Linked DNA regions of Styela clava. The protein of the gene in region 3 purifies or fractionates together with the protein of the main gene of each other region. This does not show direct contact. Links are inferred from orthologs where the notes say so. Each region holds a gene or a part of one and is shown on either strand. Other genes may lie near its edges.

The links. Proteins that work in one complex are often made in the same cells at the same time.
Region 1: the proteins of catenin beta-1-like (region 3) and ruvB-like 1 purify together in Homo sapiens (affinity purification with mass spectrometry; 6 studies listed by BioGRID and IntAct, with this or other methods). This does not show direct contact. The link is inferred for Styela clava from reciprocal best matches to the Homo sapiens genes CTNNB1 and RUVBL1.
Region 2: the proteins of catenin beta-1-like (region 3) and exportin-1-like purify together in Homo sapiens (affinity purification with mass spectrometry; 3 studies listed by BioGRID, with this or other methods). This does not show direct contact. The link is inferred for Styela clava from reciprocal best matches to the Homo sapiens genes CTNNB1 and XPO1.

Annotation. Positions count from the first base shown.
Region 1 is NC_135256.1:5,659,341-5,666,717, reverse strand, and holds the start of ruvB-like 1, read right to left. Parts: upstream 3,024-7,377; 5' UTR 2,912-3,023; coding exon 2,771-2,911; intron 574-2,770; coding exon 445-573; intron 1-444. Other genes in the region: uncharacterized protein LOC120328125, read right to left, coding at 6,021-6,216, 6,559-6,711. UniProt on the Homo sapiens protein: Possesses single-stranded DNA-stimulated ATPase and ATP-dependent DNA helicase (3' to 5') activity; hexamerization is thought to be critical for ATP hydrolysis and adjacent subunits in the ring-like structure contribute to the ATPase activity.
Region 2 is NC_135255.1:23,656,998-23,664,157, forward strand, and holds the start of exportin-1-like, read right to left. Parts: upstream 3,024-7,160; 5' UTR 2,762-3,023; intron 464-2,761; 5' UTR 452-463; coding exon 308-451; intron 1-307. UniProt on the Homo sapiens protein: Mediates the nuclear export of cellular proteins (cargos) bearing a leucine-rich nuclear export signal (NES) and of RNAs.
Region 3 is NC_135250.1:17,839,007-17,845,880, reverse strand, and holds the start of catenin beta-1-like, read right to left. Parts: upstream 3,013-6,874; 5' UTR 2,909-3,012; coding exon 2,698-2,908; intron 2,369-2,697; coding exon 2,172-2,368; intron 1,816-2,171; coding exon 1,636-1,815; intron 1-1,635. UniProt on the Homo sapiens protein: Key downstream component of the canonical Wnt signaling pathway.

The sequences.
Region 1 (7,377 bases), on a different chromosome or scaffold from region 3:
ATTGGGGTGAAAAATAAGTTTTTGACAGATTTCTAAATGCAATTCTGTAAGTTTTTCTTCCGGTTTAAATAAGATAAATTACTTGGAGTAAGATCAGAAGATAAGTACAATACTCATTTTGATTTCCCTGGAACATAAAACCATGCAAAACAACACAATAAACACACACTAAATTGAGAAAATCGGGAAAACTGGCAAAACCTCATTTAAGGTTTATTAAAACACGTAGAAACACATGTGTATACCCATATTACACACACAAACAAATATCTTAAAAAATATAAAAAACACAAATGCGTGTCGCTCGGGCATCTAACTTTGGTAACATAAACACACTGCAGACACGGGGATTCCAATTTAAAACTGCTTATATAAGATAGATACTGACTATATCCAATTTGAATTTAGTCCTTTGTAAGACATTACTGCAAAGCAAGAACAAACCTTGTTTCCAAGTTCTTGTGCGATGGCCAAAGCAAGAGCTGTTTTCCCAGTTCCAGGCGGTCCAGCTAGCAGAATTCCTCGTCCAGCCATTTTCTTACTTCTAATCAACTCCACAACAATGCCGCATGCCTGAAAGAAATCAAGTATGACAATATAATAGCAGAATGATGGTTTTGTATCAGCATATGTCAGTACGACACAGTTCGATGATTTCAAGAATAGATTGAACGACATCAATTATAACAGTGATTGCGAAGCCATCCTGAGCCTCCATATTGGCAAAAATCAACAAACAGGCACTGCGCAACAAACTAAAAGGAAGTGCAATCTGAAAATGTTACCATTGAAATCCTCGAAAAAAAAATAATGTGATTTACTGAAGGAAAACAAATTGTATCGTAGCATTCATGAGTTTTTAGCAAAAAACGCAATTTTGGTCATACTGCGATGTGACGGCCGAGGCACTTCGCGATTCATTTATGATTGAGATAAGCATGGCGCAATCTGACGTTGTGCCAGATGTCCTCGTTTCAGAGACAAATTGAGTTTTGTCTTATTGAACCAAATGTCCGGACAGAATCGGAAGACTGTGCCCGACTGTACCAGCAGAGAGAGTTTTTGACACTGCAAACCTTGCTAACCATTGAACCACCTGGTCACGGAGACTGTGATATAGCTAAACTTCAGTCTTCTCAATAAACCCATAGATCCAATATATACCGTAAAAGCGCCTAACTTCGGACAGTTTCTAACTTCGGACAAAATTTTTGAACGGCCATATCTTGGCTAAAACGCGCCGTATATTGCTAATTTTAATTATTATAGGTTGCGCTGTTATATCTACATCTATTCTCATCTTTTTTAATGTTGCATAAATATTTTTTTGGTGAAAAAACGGAAATTTTGCCGAAAATTGACTGCCCGGCATTCAACGGCGCAGAGCGTCGCTCATACTGAAGCTATCGTCGTCAAAATACCATCATTCGGTAGAGGGCGACAACAATGTATATAATTTATTTGAGTGATCGCAAGATGTCGTATGAGATTTAAATAAAACCTAAAATTCTGAATTATAAATTCCGTAAGAATATTAAGATTTCACGCAGCGTCAAAATTACGTCAACCTCACGTAGATTATTTTTCGCTCACTTCCGACACGACGTCACACTGCGTCGTGGAAATGAATTTTGACGCCAGACACAACGGAGCCAATATGACAATTTCCGTTAAGATAAAGACGGCATTCCAATGTAATATTTTTGTATTTTGTTCGGTCATGTATAAATATATGCCAAAATTACATTAATGAAAATACATGTCACACTTAATCGATGACGTTAGGAATCGAATATATAAAACTATGATAATTCCAACGTCCATATGGTACAGTGCACTGACTTAACCATTATTTTATGATTAGTAGTCGAAATGACAGTTATTGAATACGGCCTGGGTGAATTTTATTCACTCGAAATTAAAAATAAATTTAATCTCCAACAAATAAACGGGACCTACATGTTTACAAGATTAAGTTGAATTTCAAATTAAACTTTACAATCGGATTTACCGTGTGTTTGATATAAATTATCATTTATAAAGATAACCGCGCAGAATAAAAAAAAGCTATCCGTCGAGAATATTAATACTTCAAAGACTTCGATAGAAGCCCGTTGAAATACTTCATTGGGGATTGAAACGGTTTGCATCAGATATATTTACGTATGCATTTCCTGATTAAAATGACCATCGTGTTATTATACTCATCTGAAGTATCGAAAATAACGAACGAAAGATGTAAACATAGGACGACAGAAGTTTCAGATAATGCATTTTCGTCGTGATGTCAATGTTACGTTACGACGACGATCGAGCGTCTTATCTTCACGCAACGACGTGATTTCGCCATCCGCATCGGAAGCCTCTTTCTCTCTGTGCATCGCGGTTACGCAGTGAAGAAAATGACTGTCCGAAGTTAGGGCAGTGAAGGATAACGGTCAGATGGCAAGAAATATCGATTATTTTAATAGTAAAAATAGTCCAATTGAACCGAAATTTACAGGGAATGTAAATTATCCGCACGAATGTTTTACCGAGCAATTTTGGCACCGTTTGGACAATAAATGGCCGAGTTATTGACAAAAATATAGTAATTTTGTCCGAAGTTAGGCGCTTTTACGGTAACCAAAGTCATCAATTGCTACTTGTTCAGAGCCTTATTTACAGTAAAGATAACACTTAGATAACAGGCAATCGCAGAACAAATAAATGAAAAGATATTGTTGGAATTGCAGTAATAATTAGCAATGTGCGAATAAAAATATTTTACCTCTCTGGCATCTTCTTGGCCAACGAGACCCGATCCTGTCTGAAGAGGTTTACCGTCATCTGATAATCCCAGTCCTTTGACATGAGTATGCGCTGCAATCCGCTGTGTCTTTGTAGTACTCTTAACCTCCTCAATTTTCATATTATATGATTTATGTTATCAAAATTTGCTTGAATTATAGACAGAGCCAGAACGCGGAACAAGGAAACGACGCTTTACAAAGTGAGCATTGAAGAAATACAAGCGTGCGCCCGTTGACGAAGCCAGCCAAGCATGTCGTGATTTATTGCGTTATTAGCAACCGAAGAAATTTCTAGTCTTCTCATTACCAATATATTTAATTCTAATTATTAAAAAAACTTCTAAACATTTTTCTTATCCGTAATGAACAATTTTAAAATACAGAAATCTTTGTAAACTGATTGGCCTGATATCTTTATTGTTTTATCGTATTTTTGTGATCGCTGATGTGTCTTGACGGGAAATCGAAATAGTGTAACCTCATTCTGATCTCAACTTCACTTATAAGTTATAAGTTATAAGTTTATTTCGACTCCATAATCAGCAATAGACGATAAAAAAATATATAAAAACAAAAGTAAAAGTAACTGATTATAGAATCGGGAAAGCGAACAAAACCTAAAACTTCTGCTCAAATGAGCCGTTATATAGAATAAATAAAACATCAAGTCCAAAGTGTACATTTTGTGATATGCAAAACAAAACAAAACTTCTGCTCAAATGAGCCGTTATATAGAATAAATAAAACACCAAGTCCAAAGTGTACATTTTGTGATATGCATGTCGAAACTGTGTTACCATTATTTTATTTCTGTGAATCTGTGCAGTAATTTTGGGTGATAGTTATGGCTAAACTTTGAGTATGGATTGAACCTTAAAATTTGAAACATAATGAAATTGTATTGGGGGTATCCAATAATAATATTAATAATAAAAAAACTTTTTTGAAAATCAATAAGTCTTTTTTGTAAATTAATGGGAAAATAACGAACAAAGTAAAAAGCCTTCTCCGTAGTAAAAGAGCTTCGCAAAACAACGTTATCTGCAATAGCAGAATTTCGGTTTATTCCCAATTGGAATGACCCCACTACGGATGCCAATAATGTTGATTTTTCTTCTATTATAGGTTTTTGTTATCTTTCGAATTTAGAAGATTTGAACGAGCGACTAATTAGTATAAAATGAGATAATGCATTTAAACTTATTTTGAAGGTTTTGTTCATTTCCCAGATTCTTCAAATGTGTTTCGTTTTATTTTAGCGAATCTGCATTGAAATAGATCAGGGATGGCGAACCACTGACCCGCGGGTCACAAAGTGACCCACTGCGTTTTATTTGTGACCCGCCAAGCGAAGGCACGAATAAAATTAAAAAAAATGCTAACATATCAGTGATAAAAATTGATAAAACCGGCCTTAAATTAATCTAACAATAGCTAAACTATTATAATGTACCGTCAATTGGACAGTCAGGAAGGGCTGCGATCGCTCAAGTTCAAAATGTTGATTTTTGGGCCGGTATGGTAATTTTCAAAACCCCTAATCTTGTACGCATGTATGCACCGCTGTGTACCGTTATTCAGCTATTGGGCCTGACATCGTTTATGACATAACAATGCAATTGATCTGTTCATTTCTCGCAACGCCTGTCTTTTTTGGAATTGCATCTGCAGACTGTTTTAGGGGTTATACGAGAACTAGATGCTACTTTGCATTTTATTAGTTTCTCGTCTACAATGCTGTTGTGAAAACAAAAACTTTCAGTCTTGAAATAAAAATCTAGAAATCTGATGAAACAATGGGGCAGTGTAAAAGTGGCTTAATGTGGTTGAAAGCTGATCGAAAATTATAACGCTATCAAAGCGGAATTACCTCCAAACACTAGAACCGTAGAATAATTTAACGCATCATCCTAAACGTTTTCGTGTTTTCGTACTCTAATATCATAAAACCGAGTGCCATGAAAAGTCCCTGATAGAAGTGCTGCATAAGTAAAGCCCAAAACTACACCAACACCAGCTTATAAGATTTGTTTCAGAAGTTTCTTATAGATACAAACGTGAATTAAATATCTGTGACCCACTCTCTTCTGTTCCACGATAAAATTATAATTTTTGACCCATTCATTGAAAAAGGTTCGCCATCCCTGAAATAGATCATCTAAAAACCTACGGTATCCCTGACTGAACGCTGATTGAGGTAAAAATTTCAATACTCCCCTGTCTAAACACCATCAAAGAATGCAACATAAAGATTAGCTACCATGTTTTGTTATATCAATCATTTTCTTTGCATAACTGTATATATGATGCATCTCACCATCTGGTATATATGATGGGATACAGAACTATCGCTATACGCGCCATCGGCTGGAAACAGGACGAGAGGTTGAAAATATTATTAAGCTCGGCGGTGAGGCGTAATGTGCTAAGCGTTAGGAGTACGCTTGCCACGGCACAGCACCTCTGATTACCCTGCGTAGGTTCGCATCCCGTGGGTGATAATTATGTGGGAGAGGGTTGCTGGACTCCTCGAGGGCATAGGGTGGTTCACGTAACCGCTGGTCGGATTCCTCCACCAAGTTCATGCATCTGGAAGCAAAATAACTGGCTAACTAATTCCATACCTGACATTGGCGCGGCGGTGTGGCTCAACGGGCTAAGCGTTAGGAATACGCTGGCCACCGCACCTCTAATTACTCTGCGTGGGTTCACAGGTTCGAATCCCATGCAGGGATGGTTATGTGCGAGAGGATTGCTGGACTCCTCGCCGTCGTTGGGTGGTTCACGTAACCGCTGGTCGGTTACGGCTTCATCCACCACCAAGTCCATGCTTCCGAAAACAAACAATACAGTAAAACTAATCCCATACCCGACTTGGAATGGTAACCGGACGAGAGGCCGTGGTTCGTCATATAGATAAGCCGTCTTATCGGCTTTCCTCTCCCCGGGATAAATATGTAAATCCTATCCTATGGACTGGTAACCGGACCTGACATCGTGGTTAACCATATGATTAAGTTGTCTTAACGGCTTTCCCCCTGCCCGGATTAAATATGTAAACCCTAAGCCGCCTTGTTAGCTTTCCTGTCCTCTGGACGAATATCAGAATGGTGCTCATTTATAGAAACAAACGTCTTACATATTTTTTACCTGTTTGCGTATATATTATATTCATCTACATTCAATACCAGCATCGAAAAATAAAAGCAAAACGTTAAAAAACTCGAATTAGATTTCGTAAATATTTAAATGAATCTTTGAAAATTTCTTTGGTTCGACTGTTTCATCTCGACATAAAATATCATCTTTTCCATCTCCGTTTGCATCAACGACGTAAACTTTCCAATTACTATCAACACAAAGATTGCCGATCATCACCGGATCTTTGGGTTCTCCACGTCGAATTGGGAAGAGTATCATGTCTCTGAAAAAAGTTTTTTATTTGAGAGACATAAATAATGTTCTTTTTCAATTCTTCCAAAATTATCATTCATTTGTGTGTTGGGAGAATTTAAAAAACTTAACACATAAGGACACAAAATAAGGTGTGATCATAATTATATCTCGTCCTGCTTCCAGTATAAAATGGGTTGTGATCTATTTCAGTGTTTCACAACCTAAATATGTAAATCCTCTCCTAGCCTAAAGGTTGGGAGCCACTGACCTATTCTCTACCACCACAGGATCAATAACCAGGCGTGGGACTGTGGTCAACATTTCACAATGAATAAATGGAATTTCATCTTTAATCCAAGACACCACTTACGTTTCGACACCATCTACTGCAACACATAGGACATCAGTTGTTCCATCTCCATCAAAATCTCCAGTGTGTAAACTTTTTAAAATGCAATTATGTAACTTCCCTTCCCAAGATATTTTATCAAGTCTGTTGCCTCGGCCGGCTAGTACTATCTTTCTGAAATAACAATGATTAGTTATCAATATTATTACAGTTTGGTTGAACAACATGATTCTAAATATGTTGAAAGTACAAGACTGCATCTCTATCTACAAGACTCTATGAATAATTTTATTGGCACTCCAGAAGTATGTTTACCAATATGGATATAACTAATTTTGTTCGCCTACTTTACATCAAGTTGTGTAAAGGGACTGAAGCCTATGGACAGGTGAGGGGGTATATTCTATTGGCTCACACATACAGTCCCGGAACTTCGCAGGGTCTTCCTATCTCTAGAAAAATAACGTTTTTAAACCTTCAACGAAAGCGAAGATTAGACTTAGATTGCAGAATGTCAGAGACGTGAGGCATTGCTTACAATCTGAATATTTTATGCCGCAAATGAATTTTTTTTAAGCAGTTCCATTTCCACAATCAACTTTGATTTCCATAATTATCGAATAGATATTGTGGGCCTGAATGCTTTATGTAGTTGAATAGAAGCTCACTTTGAAATTTCAATAGACACTAGGAAGGAAGGTTTGACTAGAGCTTGTGTCGGAATTGATTTAACTGAACCCGGGTTGAAGAAAAAATTCTTGATAACACTTATCTGGGACTCATTTTTTGAATGGCTTGAAGTCGGAATTGGATGAAACTTGTCTTTGACTCTACTGTCCC
Region 2 (7,160 bases), on a different chromosome or scaffold from region 3:
AAGAATATTCTCACACCCAAAGGGCCCATATCAGAACCGTATAATAAAATATCATTATAATTGAGTTGTCGCAAATATACACGTGCTTAAACTGTGATAACGGCGTAAAAATTGGTATCTAGAACGTAAAAAGATGATAAATATGAAGTGTTTAATTTTTTCAAATAAGTTCGACGGGCCATATTAAATCGTTGCGCGTGCCGTAATTGGCCCGCGGATAGAGAACCACTGATCTTGAACAGACTGAATCGAATAAACTTTTTATACAGACTTCAAAAATAATAATTCAATTTGAAAAACATCTTACCGGTTGTCCAGATCCGTCGTACATACATCCTACGACATTATCAAGGAGTTGAATATCCAATTTCTGTGAGAAGTCCAGCAACTGCTGGCCGACTTGCTGAGTTAATACCGTTCCCATGGAATTAGTATTGATTGGTGGCGTCATTTTGTTGGATGCCTGGAAAAAGAAATATTTCAAAATTTTAACTGATTAATTCATTAATACTGTCACACCATGACATGATAGGATTTTCATATTTATTTCAAAAGGGAAAAGATGATAATTTTTTGGCGTGGCAGAGCCTTGTATCAAGTTATATGCTTTTAAACTTATGCTCTAACTTATTTTAACTTATGCTCGCCTCCCAGGTATCCTTGCATTTTGTTTGTCTGCTTACTTTTTGTGTCATTTATGTTAAAGAACCAGAATAAAATGATTGATAATGATAACATGGCTCAATCATATGGCAAACCATGGTCTTTCATTCAGTTACCAGTCCATGTTGGGTACGGAATTAGCTATTCGTTGAGATGCATGGACCTCCTTACAGCAGATATTTTGGGTACCACCGTAGTATGTGAACCAAGATGGCGGACACCGGAACGAAGTATGTGTACCAGGTAAGGCCTTAAGTACAGGTACAAATACTACGGGAGTCACTTGGCTCGTTCCGAACTAGTAATAGAACTAAAATAAGAAAAATTGGAATACAATTATGGCCGAACCTTAACCTGGTATACATACCACATTATGGTATCCGCCATCTTGGTGCACATACTACGTAGCGCCAATATTTTTACAACAATAACCTGTTAACTATAACCAAAACTAAACTGTATCGGTATGAGTTTGTAGTTCGCGAAAGGATCAAACATCTCAAAAAATAGGGGAAAGTTGATAAGATGGCTTAACCATAATATGGCAAACCAAGGCCAGTTACCAGTCCATATTGGGTGTGGGAATAGTTATCCAGTTAAAAACAATAATCTGGTTTGATCATATGACATAATATGGCTCTCATTACCAATTTATGGTATATAACAACCAATAAATTTGATTTTAAAGCATAGTTGACATAGTAGGGCAGAGTGAATGTCAATTTAATTTTTTCAATCAATAAAAATAAATTGTAAATTTGAGAAAAAAGTGTACACGTTGTTTTACTCTAGAGAAGAAGCGCAGCAGGATACAGCCATATACCCAACACTACGCTCCAGAAGTATGCGTACCAGTATATACGCAACAAATTTTGTTCGCATACTTTACATCAAGGGACTGAAACCTATAGGTAGGGGGATATTTACTTGGCTAACACAGGCAGTCACCGAACTCGTAATAGAACTGAAGTGAGAAAAATCAGAATAAAATTGTGGCCTAAACCCAAGATGCTGACATGGTACATACTACGGGAGGTGACCGTACATTTGAACCCATGCGTATATCCATGGGTTCAATCTATATACGGGTGCTAAAATCCATGGGTTAGGGTTAGTATGGGTTTAACTATCCGTGAAAAAAAAAAATTCCATAGATGCAATAGCATACAGGTGAAATTGTCATGGGTTCAAATGTACGTGGGTTCAAATGTAATGGAACCACTACGGGAGTATGATAGCCTTGTAACAGTAACATGGCCAGTGTCTTATTAACAAGGATCCATAGCCTTTCCTCCACCCTTGAGGTTCCTGTATTAGTCTTTTAAATTCAGTTGGCTCATTTTAATCATGCAATAAGTCTTTTGGGCGTTTCTACTATAAACAACACCTACAAAAATCATTTCCATTAGGTTAAATGGAAAATTCCTGTATGAAAAATACCCTGTGAACAAGTGGTCACAATATCTGTGATTAATATGAATTTATTTGTATATATATTTTATGAACATTGCGATATATCGTTTCAATATGTTGTTTCACATAATTAAAATTCTTTAACAAAACAAAAAGACGGTAAAATCACCCCCAAACCGTCCAAAATTTGATCGAACCGGCCAGCACTGGTTCGCAACACGGAAAAGTCATCTGCGCGTGAATCCACCTCGAGCGCGTCGCGCGTGTTATTAAACAAACCAATCTCACGCGCGCACACACACCATCGTGTAGTTTTCCACTCATCGTGGGAACCGTGAGAAAATTTCCATGACGTCACGGGCATTCAAAAGCGAGCGTTTCTATTTTCATTCGAAGTTGGGTGTTTCCCCGACTTATCACATACGATTTTAATTTCTTATATTATGTCCTCCCCACGAAAATAAAAATTGCCAATCGAGGATAGGCCTATAACCAGAAAAAATGAAATTGTAAACACATCATGGGGAAACCCCGCGAAACATTACTACATCTTTATGTAATTTTCCATTTGAACGTACGGTACACGGTACAGATGTGCCAGAATTTTGGAAGAAAAACACAATTTTACTAGTTTCTGACTGAATTTTGTTACAAAAATTTCGTAAATAGATTATAATATACTCACAGATTGCAAATCCGAAACGGATATCGCTGTAGCCGCCGTTTTGAAGGTTAGATTCGTTTCAAATTTCTGTTAAATACGTATTTAGTATTCTACTAGTCTACGCTTTCTTCTTGACGACTTATTCAAGTTATGCCTTCTTCAATATAAGCTTTGTAAAGTAACTGCTTTAAAATTTCTTTTACGACAAGTAACTCCTCCCTGCGAACAGTCAATTTCATGAAATGATATTCGAAAAGCAATTTACAGAAGAAGCGAGTCGAAGCTGCAACCGGTTTGATCTGGTTTTCGCAATGCGTTCGCACTTTTTCGTTTTTCATCGCGCTGGATTTATGACGTCATCGCGTTTTTTCGTTCAGTTATTTAGCTCTCTTTCGTCCAGCAGTAAACAAAGAATAGGCAAACTTCAAAACAAAATATAATTTCACATAACGTTAGCTATATCATACTGAAGTATAAAGATTTAATCAGTTTAAAAATGGTTCCGCAAGACTGATTCTGTCTAGAAATTTTGAACCCGCCATTTTTGAATCCGGAATTCACTTATCCGTGCGACCTGAAGTGGGCTGTTCGATTGCGGGCACCGTTTCGGTACTGTTGTACGGATTACCGGTACGAAAATGTATGTTTATTTGCCTAAAAATGTAACAGTATCTGCATAATAATTAAACGGTATAACAGAGACGGGATATATGTTCAAGACCTTACTTTGAATTATGCCTGAGGTTGCCAATTGTGACACATTTACAATTCTAAATGAATTAAGGCTAAACTTTAAATAGGAAGAAAAATTAAAACGTATCGATACTATTTGTTCTAGCCCTAGGTCTTCGCCGACTTCAGCAACTGTTGGGCACGCCTTGTACACAGGTAGGCTGATGCTCCGCGTATATAAACGCGTTTGTAACGAACGATTCGACACGACAATTGAAATTGTTGGACACGTGGTGGTGGATCGTTTTGCTGTTATGTTGATTTTGTTGGTATTTTTTTTCATGTTGTTACAAAAAAATCGTTTTTCTCATATACTAATGGACCATTGCTTTGAAATTTTCAATGGTTGAAGATTGTATTTTTTGCTAGAATGTTATTACTTTTATTCCTAAATTTTCAATGAGATCTGATATTTCATCCAAAATGTCGCCATATTCTTATATTTTCATGTTTTAATCCGCCAAACGCGGCGGCGAGATTCCGATTTGACGCGACGCTACGCGAGACTCGGAGATTAATTGATGCGGGTCGGAACTGTACAAAACGGAACCGTACTTTATTTTGGATTTCGTATAAATATATTTTCGCATTGCTTTTTTTAAATTTACGCTCTACAGTAATTTTTTATTACCTTTTAGGAAGTTTTGCACCTCTAAAATTTTGTAAAACCACAGGAAAACGTCTTTGCGGCAATGGTCTGAAAGTATCCTTATCGTAGGTCACAGGACTGGGCAATATCGCGTACTTGATGATTTAAAAATCTAATCTAAAAATTTTCAAATCAAATTCGAAATATTTTGAAGATATAATCGTATGTGGTATTTTCACTGTGATACATGGGTTAATAAGTTAAGAACTAAATGGATGACCGATGAATCACATTTTTTTCACACCGATCAGAAGTTGGAATTCTAGATTTTAAACAGCGCGTGAAAACTCGTGAACTCAACTCAGTCGTCTTACTAAGAGACATAAAATTACAAATGACATCTAATACGTGACACGTGTTGTTGCATCACTCTTGATAGCTTTTTGACATCAGGCGGCATGTTGCAACACACATCTCTCGAATAGAAAATGGATTTCATTTCCTCATTCCATTGCATCTTAAGAAGTTCCATCCGAATGTTTTCTGCAACCGTATCCACGTTGGCATCAAACGGAATACTAAACAGCCTGAATTCGTTTTTAAGACGGAAAATGACGTCAGCATGCTTTTGACCGCGTTTCACATCCTTTAACATTTCTTCTATTAGCCGAGTCAAGTTTCTAGCAGAAAGGCTGATATAGGAGAATAAATTTACTTTTTTTAGGGCCTACAATACCGACTGCAGTCATCAATTACTTTTTTACGAAGTGTTAAGCAAATTCAAAAACTTTTCGAAACTGGCAACAGTATTCTGTTCGTTTTCGTTGTAAATTGTTTTAGGAAGAAAGAGCTTTGTTTTGTTAGACCTACTTTGAATTGTTTACTCCTATCTTCACGTCTTTGGCCATCTATCCTCCTTTCTATTGTTTTTCTAAGCCGATTTTAAAATGCTTCGTTTCATAGTGACGTATAATGTTCTATTCCTTTTTGCCCAAGTGTTCTGCGCCTTTGAAACCTTTGCACTCAGCATCAACTTTTCTGCGTTGTTTGCCATTTTTCTGATTACAATTAAATTGAGGCTCATTAAACGAGTGTTCACTAAATTGTTAGATTATAATATAATTTAATCTAAACATATCTTACTATAAATTTTGTTACGCAAAGATAATACTGAACTACCCAAACGTAGATCGTAAAATTAATTCATCGTCTAAACCAGGCCTGGGCAAACAACGGCACTCGGGCCAAATCCAACCCGTTGGGGACATTGATTTGGCCCGCCCGATGCTGCCACAACCAAAGTAAAACCAAATTTTGGTGTCTCAGATAAAAATTAGCTCAAGGATTTTGTTGAGATTGCGATTAAATTCAGTTTAAGCACGAGGCTTATTGTTCCCCAATTTTTCTTTTGTGACACTGTAAATATTGTTCACAAAATGTAACCTTCCACGTTACACCTAATGGCCCGCCAGTCTAGGTGGCCCGCGGTACAATAACCTTGCCCACCCCTAAACCGTCGTTTTGTCGCCATAATTCACGGAAATGTCGCGAGCCGAATCAGGACCGCGGGCCGTAGGGTGCCGACCGGTGCTTTAGTACTCCAGGTACATTAATATCATTTGAACAGTTCGCTTCGCTTTCGCATCACAATAGGAAACTTATTCCATCAATAACTCACTTGGAAGACAGAAATAATCAAATGTCAGAATTGCTTTTAAAAAATTGAAGGATACACCTTGACTTCGCACAAAATAAACAAGATGGCGGCGATTCAAAATTTATGGTTCCATTATATTTGAACCCACGACAATTGCACCTGCATACTATTGCACCTATAAATTTTTTTTTTGTTTTGCGGATATTTGAACCCATACTAACCCTAACCCATGGGTTTTAGCACCCGCATATAGATTGAACCCGGGGATATACACATGTGTTCAAATGTACGGTCACAAAAATTTATGTATGCGAACAGATACGCATAATTCACTGTCAGATTCGAAATGCCCAGCTCTAATTGTATATATATACGCTTGTTAGATGCAACCGCGAAATGTTCTATAGGTAGGCTTACAGTATGTCTGACGCAAAAAACGAGACTGTGCGGATAGGACAAGCCGATCTTGGTTCGATCCCTTAGCTTAGTAATAATTGTGAATCAAAATTAGCTGTAAACCATACTAAAATGTCCTCTATTGGTCTTTGCTTCAAATAATGGAAATCGCTCTTTAATTTATCAGAAAACTTGCACTTTGTTTTTTTGCATTTTGATGATTCAACGACAGTACAGTTGGGTGTTGAATTAACGCATGGTACATGGTACTTCATAACATAACTATGACATAACAATCTGAACTAGTAAGGTGAGTTGTAAACCAGTAGGAGTTCACCTGCGTCCGGTAAAAAACAATTTTGTATGAATATCAAATAAAAAAGGCATACTTTCATACTGCATAACCGGTCATTGAGGTCTATCGGCCGGGACGGCGCAACAACTATAGCTAAAATCGGGATTGCCCCGACTATACCGATATGTATGGTAAGCCTTCTCGGCGGTATGGTGCATTGTGCCAAGCGCTAGAAATACGCTCGCCACCGCACCGGTTATGCAGTACGACAATTGTAAAGATTCTTTTATTCGATATTAATACATTTTTTTAACGAAGGGAGCCGATTTTCCACTGATTTTCAACTCAAGAAAAATCCCCAAAATAATACAGTTACTTATTTCAATTTTCTTCGAAAAATAACACTAGGGCTTATTTTTTGGGGATGTCCTTTATTTTCATATATCAAAAACAAGATTGCAAAGTAGAGAATTACCAGATTTTCAAATATATATACAAAATATAAAAACCGATATCCATTTACTTGTGAAAAACACGTTCATATTTAACCTAGATTATTCAGGTCATTGAACCCTTTTCTCTCTCACAAGTTTTAGAATTCGTATTATTCATTTAAAACGTGTAGGAGAGATTTTGGTACTCCCGAAGTATGTTTACCAGGTTAGGTTTATGCAATAATTTTGTTCCAATTTTTCTATATTTAGTTCTGTTACGAGTTCGGTGACTAGCCAAGTGACTCCCGTAGTATTTG
Region 3 (6,874 bases):
TGGAATAATTCGAATATTTTTAACGAATATCGAATAGTCGAATAACGAATATTTTTATGCACAATGGAAGGTCCAGAACGTCGGTCGATACTTCCTTTGGAAATTAATAAGACATTGAAAAATCGGCTACAAAGCGTTTTTTTACTGGTTGATTTCGTCATAATCGCTGATCGTTTTTGTCACAGTGACCGTTTTTGCGGCGATATATAATCTATATTACCGGCATTACCGCCCTTTCTGTTTTTTGCAAGTATTAATTCTTTCGGGTCGTCGGACAAGTTTATATTTCCGGTTCACCCGTGCGTTCACGTCGGTAACAGCTGTTAAAACCATTAAGGATTGATTTCAAACCCAAATTAATATTATTCTAATTTTCATCATTTGCGTTGGCTTTCATATTACTTATCAACGTTTGTAAATTTACCGTCACAATATCAAGCGAACGGTAATATTACTATTGATACCGGGATGCAGATATTTATTAAGACAATACCAAAATTAACTTTGCTATGCTTTTCTATGGTGTCTATGTTACTTTACAGATAAACCTCGCAAAGCTGCGATTGCGTCAATCTCGAATGTTGATTTAAAATGGTGAGTGGTGACTAAATAATTCGGCAATAAAGGCATTTCTGCGTAGCCCTATGAAGAGTTGACGTTAATAAACAGCGCTTCTTGAATAATAATTTACATATGCGACCCGATGCTGAATGAAAAAAATTGCTCTTTTGTGCCTAATAGATTGCCAGGCGCTAAATATAACTAAATCTTTCAAGTTCCGACGTTTTCTTTCAAGAAACCCCGCGATCCATCGTTACAGAGTAATTCACAATTTTAGTGCAAAAATGCTCAAAATATAACGAATGTAATCATTTCCGATGATACAACAATTCGTAAACAGTGCGCGTTGTTACATCGAAATTCACGACTGATTTTACGTTATGATTTTTACACTCCACCCGCCATGCATGACCGAGTGAAACGATTACATTTTCGAAACATCACTTGGTCAAGAATGAAAGGGATCACCAAAGAATTAATTGAAAGTACATTAAAAGAACTATGTTCTGCCATTTCTTTTCTGGTCATAGCTTGTGCGTGTTATACTATGTATGGTTTCATGCAAAGGTTATTTCAAATTTTAATTTTCGTTAAACAAATTTATGTTTGGTTCACGTGCCGCCAACCATACGGAGTTTAAAATCTGGGATATTTATTTTAAATACCTCATCTGATTTGTCGTTTCTAAATTTAGGGAACGGTGTCGGTATCTTTTTTTGCAAAATAGGCAGTTGAAACGAACGATTGGAACGCAAAGAAAACAAATAACACCACAACGCAAAGACAATTTTTCAAATTTGTCGCTTTTGTCTGTTAGCGAGCATTGTAGGTGAATTCTCGAGCAATTCACGTTCGGTTCAGAGACGTTCTGTATCCGAGTGAAGCGACACAGATCACGTGGTACCCGATATTTGAATAGTAAAATGCCATTCAAATAATTTAATATTCTATTCGCTATTCGAATATTTTGCCCAGCCCTAATAGGCATCCACAGTGACCATCCACAGTGACACTAGATTCTCATCTGTGAAAATGCCTCTCATGGAAAGATGTCTCCATCAACAATAGCCTTACCTGCATTGCTCTCACAAGCGCAGCAATCATTCCAGGGTTATTCATGATAGCCTGACGGCTTGCAACTTTCTTAGAAAGCATATGAACCATCTGTGCAGCTTGTTGCACGACAACCTGATCTTCATCATTGAGTAGAGTGGTTAGCTCTGGAATTGCTTTTGTAGCAAGATCAGCATCATCCTAAAGGAACAAAGATATTTAGTTTCGACATAGGCAACAATCTAAAATTCATTCTGATGTGCAGAGGGGATGATTGTTACTGGTCGCACAAATTTTGGGGTATTTTTAAATCTATAGCAACATTCATCATCTTTGGCTCTTGTGTTTTGAAAATCATAACACTAAATGAACTAGGACTGTTTCAATATATTACTGAGTTACAAATATCTACTGAAACTATAGAATATGGCTGTCCCTTCACTTGTGTAATTATGAGGTAGTGAATGCCACATAAGTAAAGCATTTCAGTTCTTTGTATAACACTTTTTTGTTTGATGGGTACACTGACGTATAATACAATATTTATATCTTAATACCTGATAGTTGATAATATTAACAACAGCATGTTTCAGCATTTGAGATGGTTCCGCCAATCTTTGAACAGCAGTTGGATTGTTGGGATCAAATTGTGTGCTCGGAATCTGCTGCATGGATCCATCATCCATTGAGGTTTCAGGAAAAAGAACATCTCGAACTCTGTCGGCGCGAGTACGAGCAAATTGGTCACTCAATTCTGCAAATCAAAGTTTCATATACTAAATAATAAGAAATAACTCAATAGCGCATTCCCCTGTATACTTCAATTCCGCCACCTTCGTTGTGAAGGGCACCACAAAAATTTTCAGCCTTTCATATGGTCTTAAAAATGTGATCACATTAAAATAGTCAAAAATGTGTAAAATTGTTAGGCATAAGACAGTTTCTTGAAATTTTCAGGAATAAAGCTGGAATTTCCAGAAGACAAGAAATATAAAATTGATTAAACTTTATTGATACCGTACCTACATAAAAATATCGCATTATGATTCTACTTGTATCTAAAAACGAAACTGATAAACATACGATTTGCTTCTTCCATGGTTAATTCCCTTTGCCATTCTCGCAAAACTTGCTCGGTGTCTGTGTAGTCATCCACTGTTCCAGTGACTGATGGATTGGCAGTTGTTGCTCCTGAGTTGATACCAGAATCCCATCCACCTTGCTGCCATTGGTTCATTTGAGCTTTGGGATCTGCCATCGGAATATCTCCGGGGCTCATCATCATTTCCGCCATGATTGATTAGAAGTCCCAACACAAATATCAATAAAATTGTATTTAAAATCTTTACTTAAAATGCTTGTTAAAATTCAAACTAAAAACAATAATTCAGTATTTGGTCATTATTTATGACTGGAATATCCCGGGGCTATCATCATTTCCGACATGATTGATTAGAAGGCCCAACAAAAATACCAATAAAATTGTATTTAAAATCTTAACTTGAAATTGAAACGCTTGTTAAAATTCAAACTTAAAACAATAATTCAGTATTTAGTCATTATTTATGACTGGGTTATAAGTGTATAAGTATAGTTTGACTCCATAATCAGCGTAACAATAAAATGACTGTTAAAAACGAATAAATAAAAATTGATTATGGAATCGGGAGAGCTAGTTAATCATAACACTGTTTTTTCTGAATACCTGTATATCAACTAAGCATCGTATATAAATTAACCAAAATCTACAAATTTTTAACTTGACCAAACCATGATACATTATTTTTTGGCAGCGCGATGGTGGGCTTGGTGCCGTACTATAACTGTATAAGGAAGTTTCTAAATAATACAGTAATACTACACTATCTAACTGATATATTCAGTATATAGCTGTAACTTCGGCCCGGCAGTTCGACAAAAGCTAAGTACGGTACAATCAATTTTCCCTGACCACTTTTCGGGCTGGCGACAATTTCGTAGACTCGTACTCGAGTGGGCGGAGTGACGCGTTCGCACACACACGCGAAATAGTTCGTTTCATTTTATGTACATAATGAAATCGAATTTTCGACAAGAATGTACGACGATACTGTACCTTAAATGAAACTAAACTACTTAATTCCGTTCCTTTACGATAATACATCGCATACATATTCAGATATATACAAAAACCCATAGCGCCAAGAAAGAGCACATCCATTATGACACTTGCGCTACCGCAGTCGAAACGTACGAGTGCTTTTCAAAATGGCGTCAACCAGACGAGAAAAAGGCGAAACGGAGTCGGGAGAAAAAGTTTGTGGGCGACAATCATTAGTCATCCACGGCGCACAAGTGCAGCTTGAAATTATGACGTATCCAAACAAAACCACTGACTCGCCACAGAAAAAACTGACACGCGTGACTAGGCCTCCCGAACACTCACGCGACAATACAATAAAAAATCGTAAGCTTGAAAAGACGATCGCTGCTGTTTCCTACGGGAAACGGTAAAATTAGCCGTGAAATTGATAACCCAATGATGTCAATATTTATTTATCAAAATATGCAATACTGTACTCTAATCAAAACGCACTAATCAATTTACAACTGTCGTTCAATTCAAGCGAATATTTAACGCATTTTTAAATTGATGTAACGCTGGAATCAATTTGATTTATATAATCCTGCGTTTTCATAGCAAACATATTTCTATCCACGATGATATAGTCTTCTGTCGGTATCGATATCCGCTTTGATTTGTGCTCGTATACAACGACAGGAAAATGTTAAATACGGAATGTTTTCAATTAGAACAATAGCTTCATTGTAGACAGACCAGTATAATCCGCATCCGCTCAGCACGTACTTACCGCTGGCTGCAGCCTTTGGATGTAACTCCCAGTGTGTATTCCGCGAGTGTGCGTGAAACAGCCACGCAGTTTGTTTTGACATTACTGTAATTGTTTCAGACGTAAGTTCGCTTGTAGTTCATTGCACGATGTTCTTCTCCTTCCCTACAATAATAGAAGACATCTTGCAGGAAATCCTACATTTTCGGCATTTTCTATCCGATACTATCCCGTTGTTGCATCACGACTAATTTTCTCTGATTCTGCGTCTTATGTGAGGCTATTGCCCGACCTCTTTCTGTCTATCCTTATGTTTAACAGAAACGCTCAGAATTTATGTCCTTTTGGCGCGTGAGTACAAATCTAGTTTACATGTCAATCAGAACACGATTGACACAAGTGCTGTTTCGTAAACATAATCCATTCCCACGAAATGCATGTATGTTATCAATAAAACGCGGACATTTCCAGTGGCGGATTTGATTACGATTAGTGACTTATTAAATGCAAATCGATAACACGAAATAAATCAAGTCCGCGCCTGGGGTTAGAAGCTTTTAAGCTGATTACAGCGGATTAGACATTTAAAGTCATAAACCGACTCAATGGTATTGCTGAGGGCCAGAGCAACATGCAATAGGAATATTCAACAGAAAACGCATGCAAGCGCGCAGATCACAAACAAACTGAGCTAAAGCGATGTCGTTACAGTTAATACTACCTTGTGGATGCGTAGAAGGGTTAGTAAATCGCTAGCTTAGGGAAAACAAAGCCTTATCAAATCGTATAACATAGAATATACGTTGGCCAGGTGCCACAAAATAATTACTGTAAAACAGATACACACTGAAAACAGACGAAAAGCCTGACACCGTATACACCTAAAGCCCGATGAGCGACACGGGTATACGAAAGGTGTACAGCCTAAATCAGAAAATCTAAACTCTAATATATATAATAAATTATAAAATATTCAATCGGAGACAATAATGGAACCGCACACGAAATATAAAATGTTATAACGCTAAGAACCGACGTGAGCACGTTGTTACATCACAAATTATATAGATAATACGATCATGTGTCTGGGTTGGTGATTTCGGCTGCCATGCACTTTGTTTCATTTATGTCGAACATTATTCCCGTCGACGCTAAGGCAGTCAGTCAAATTTATAACCTGCGGTCGCTAGCCTATTAGATTGCATGATGATATTGCAGTACAATATGTGCTTACAATTTATTGTTTATTTTGAGCCGCCTTAAATAAACATTGGTATTTGTAAGGTATACAAAGTTCTTGAAAAACTGTAAAAGGTATACTTCGATAAAAAAGGTTGAAGAACACTGGTCCACAATCTACATTATGCGCGGCAGTAGTGATCCGAATAGGGAGCGCAGTGTGAGCGCTACTCTACATTATACGTAAAGCTTCACATTATACGTAAAAATAATGGTTCCCAAATCCTGACATAGTTATTGATTATTCCGATAATTTTGTATCTATGTATTTTCTGGAGACCTGATCCATTTATTAAAACAAAACTGATCCGGGTCGTTTAAGAGCATGTAGCAGACTCTGTGAAATTAGATGCAATTAACACCGTTAATTTTTTATCGCTAAATGTATAATAGCCAACTGCAAGACGCCCCTCATTCTCACACACGCCAAAAGCGACATATATCCAGCATACAACCAAAAAGTACAAGTATACATTTGAAACCACCCCTGTGAACGCCTACACTTCACCGAACCATGGTGCTATATAATATACAATTCCGAAATGGAGGTATAACATTGTGAGTGTCATACATACGATCGACAACCATCGTCGTCTTTTCTCGCCGGTGTTCACATACATAAAAGCGAAATCCCAAGGGCGAAAAATTTTATTTGAAAAAAAATAATTATTGTCCGCGGTTGTCCTCAATGCGTTGATATAGCAGCTTTATAGTCAGTGGTCTGGTGGGTTTTGGCGAATATTCTGAACAAAGATACCATTTTACCCCAGGAACACCGGTTCCACCTGACTGATTATCACCGTCAAATGTTATCATGTTAGCCTAAGGCTGTGATATTATAGCAGGAGAAAGTACAGCACATTTATTTTCCATATTTGGTAAACTACGTTGATAACGTCATACTAGCCAGGTACCGGTATCGTATCTGAAGCAGAACACAAGTGAAAGACTCAAATCAATAAGCCAATTTAAAAATAAATTGAAGGATACAAATATTCAAAAAAAAGGCAAAATTTCGGTCAGAATGGTGCTCTCTCGCATAGTACCAAAACTACGATGCTCCCGAAGTATGCGAACCAAGATGGCGGACATCGGAACGTAACATTGGTGACAGGTTAGGGTTAGGCGATAATTTTTTTTCAATTTTCCTTATTTTAGTCCTATTATCAGTTCGAAGACTAGCCAAGAGT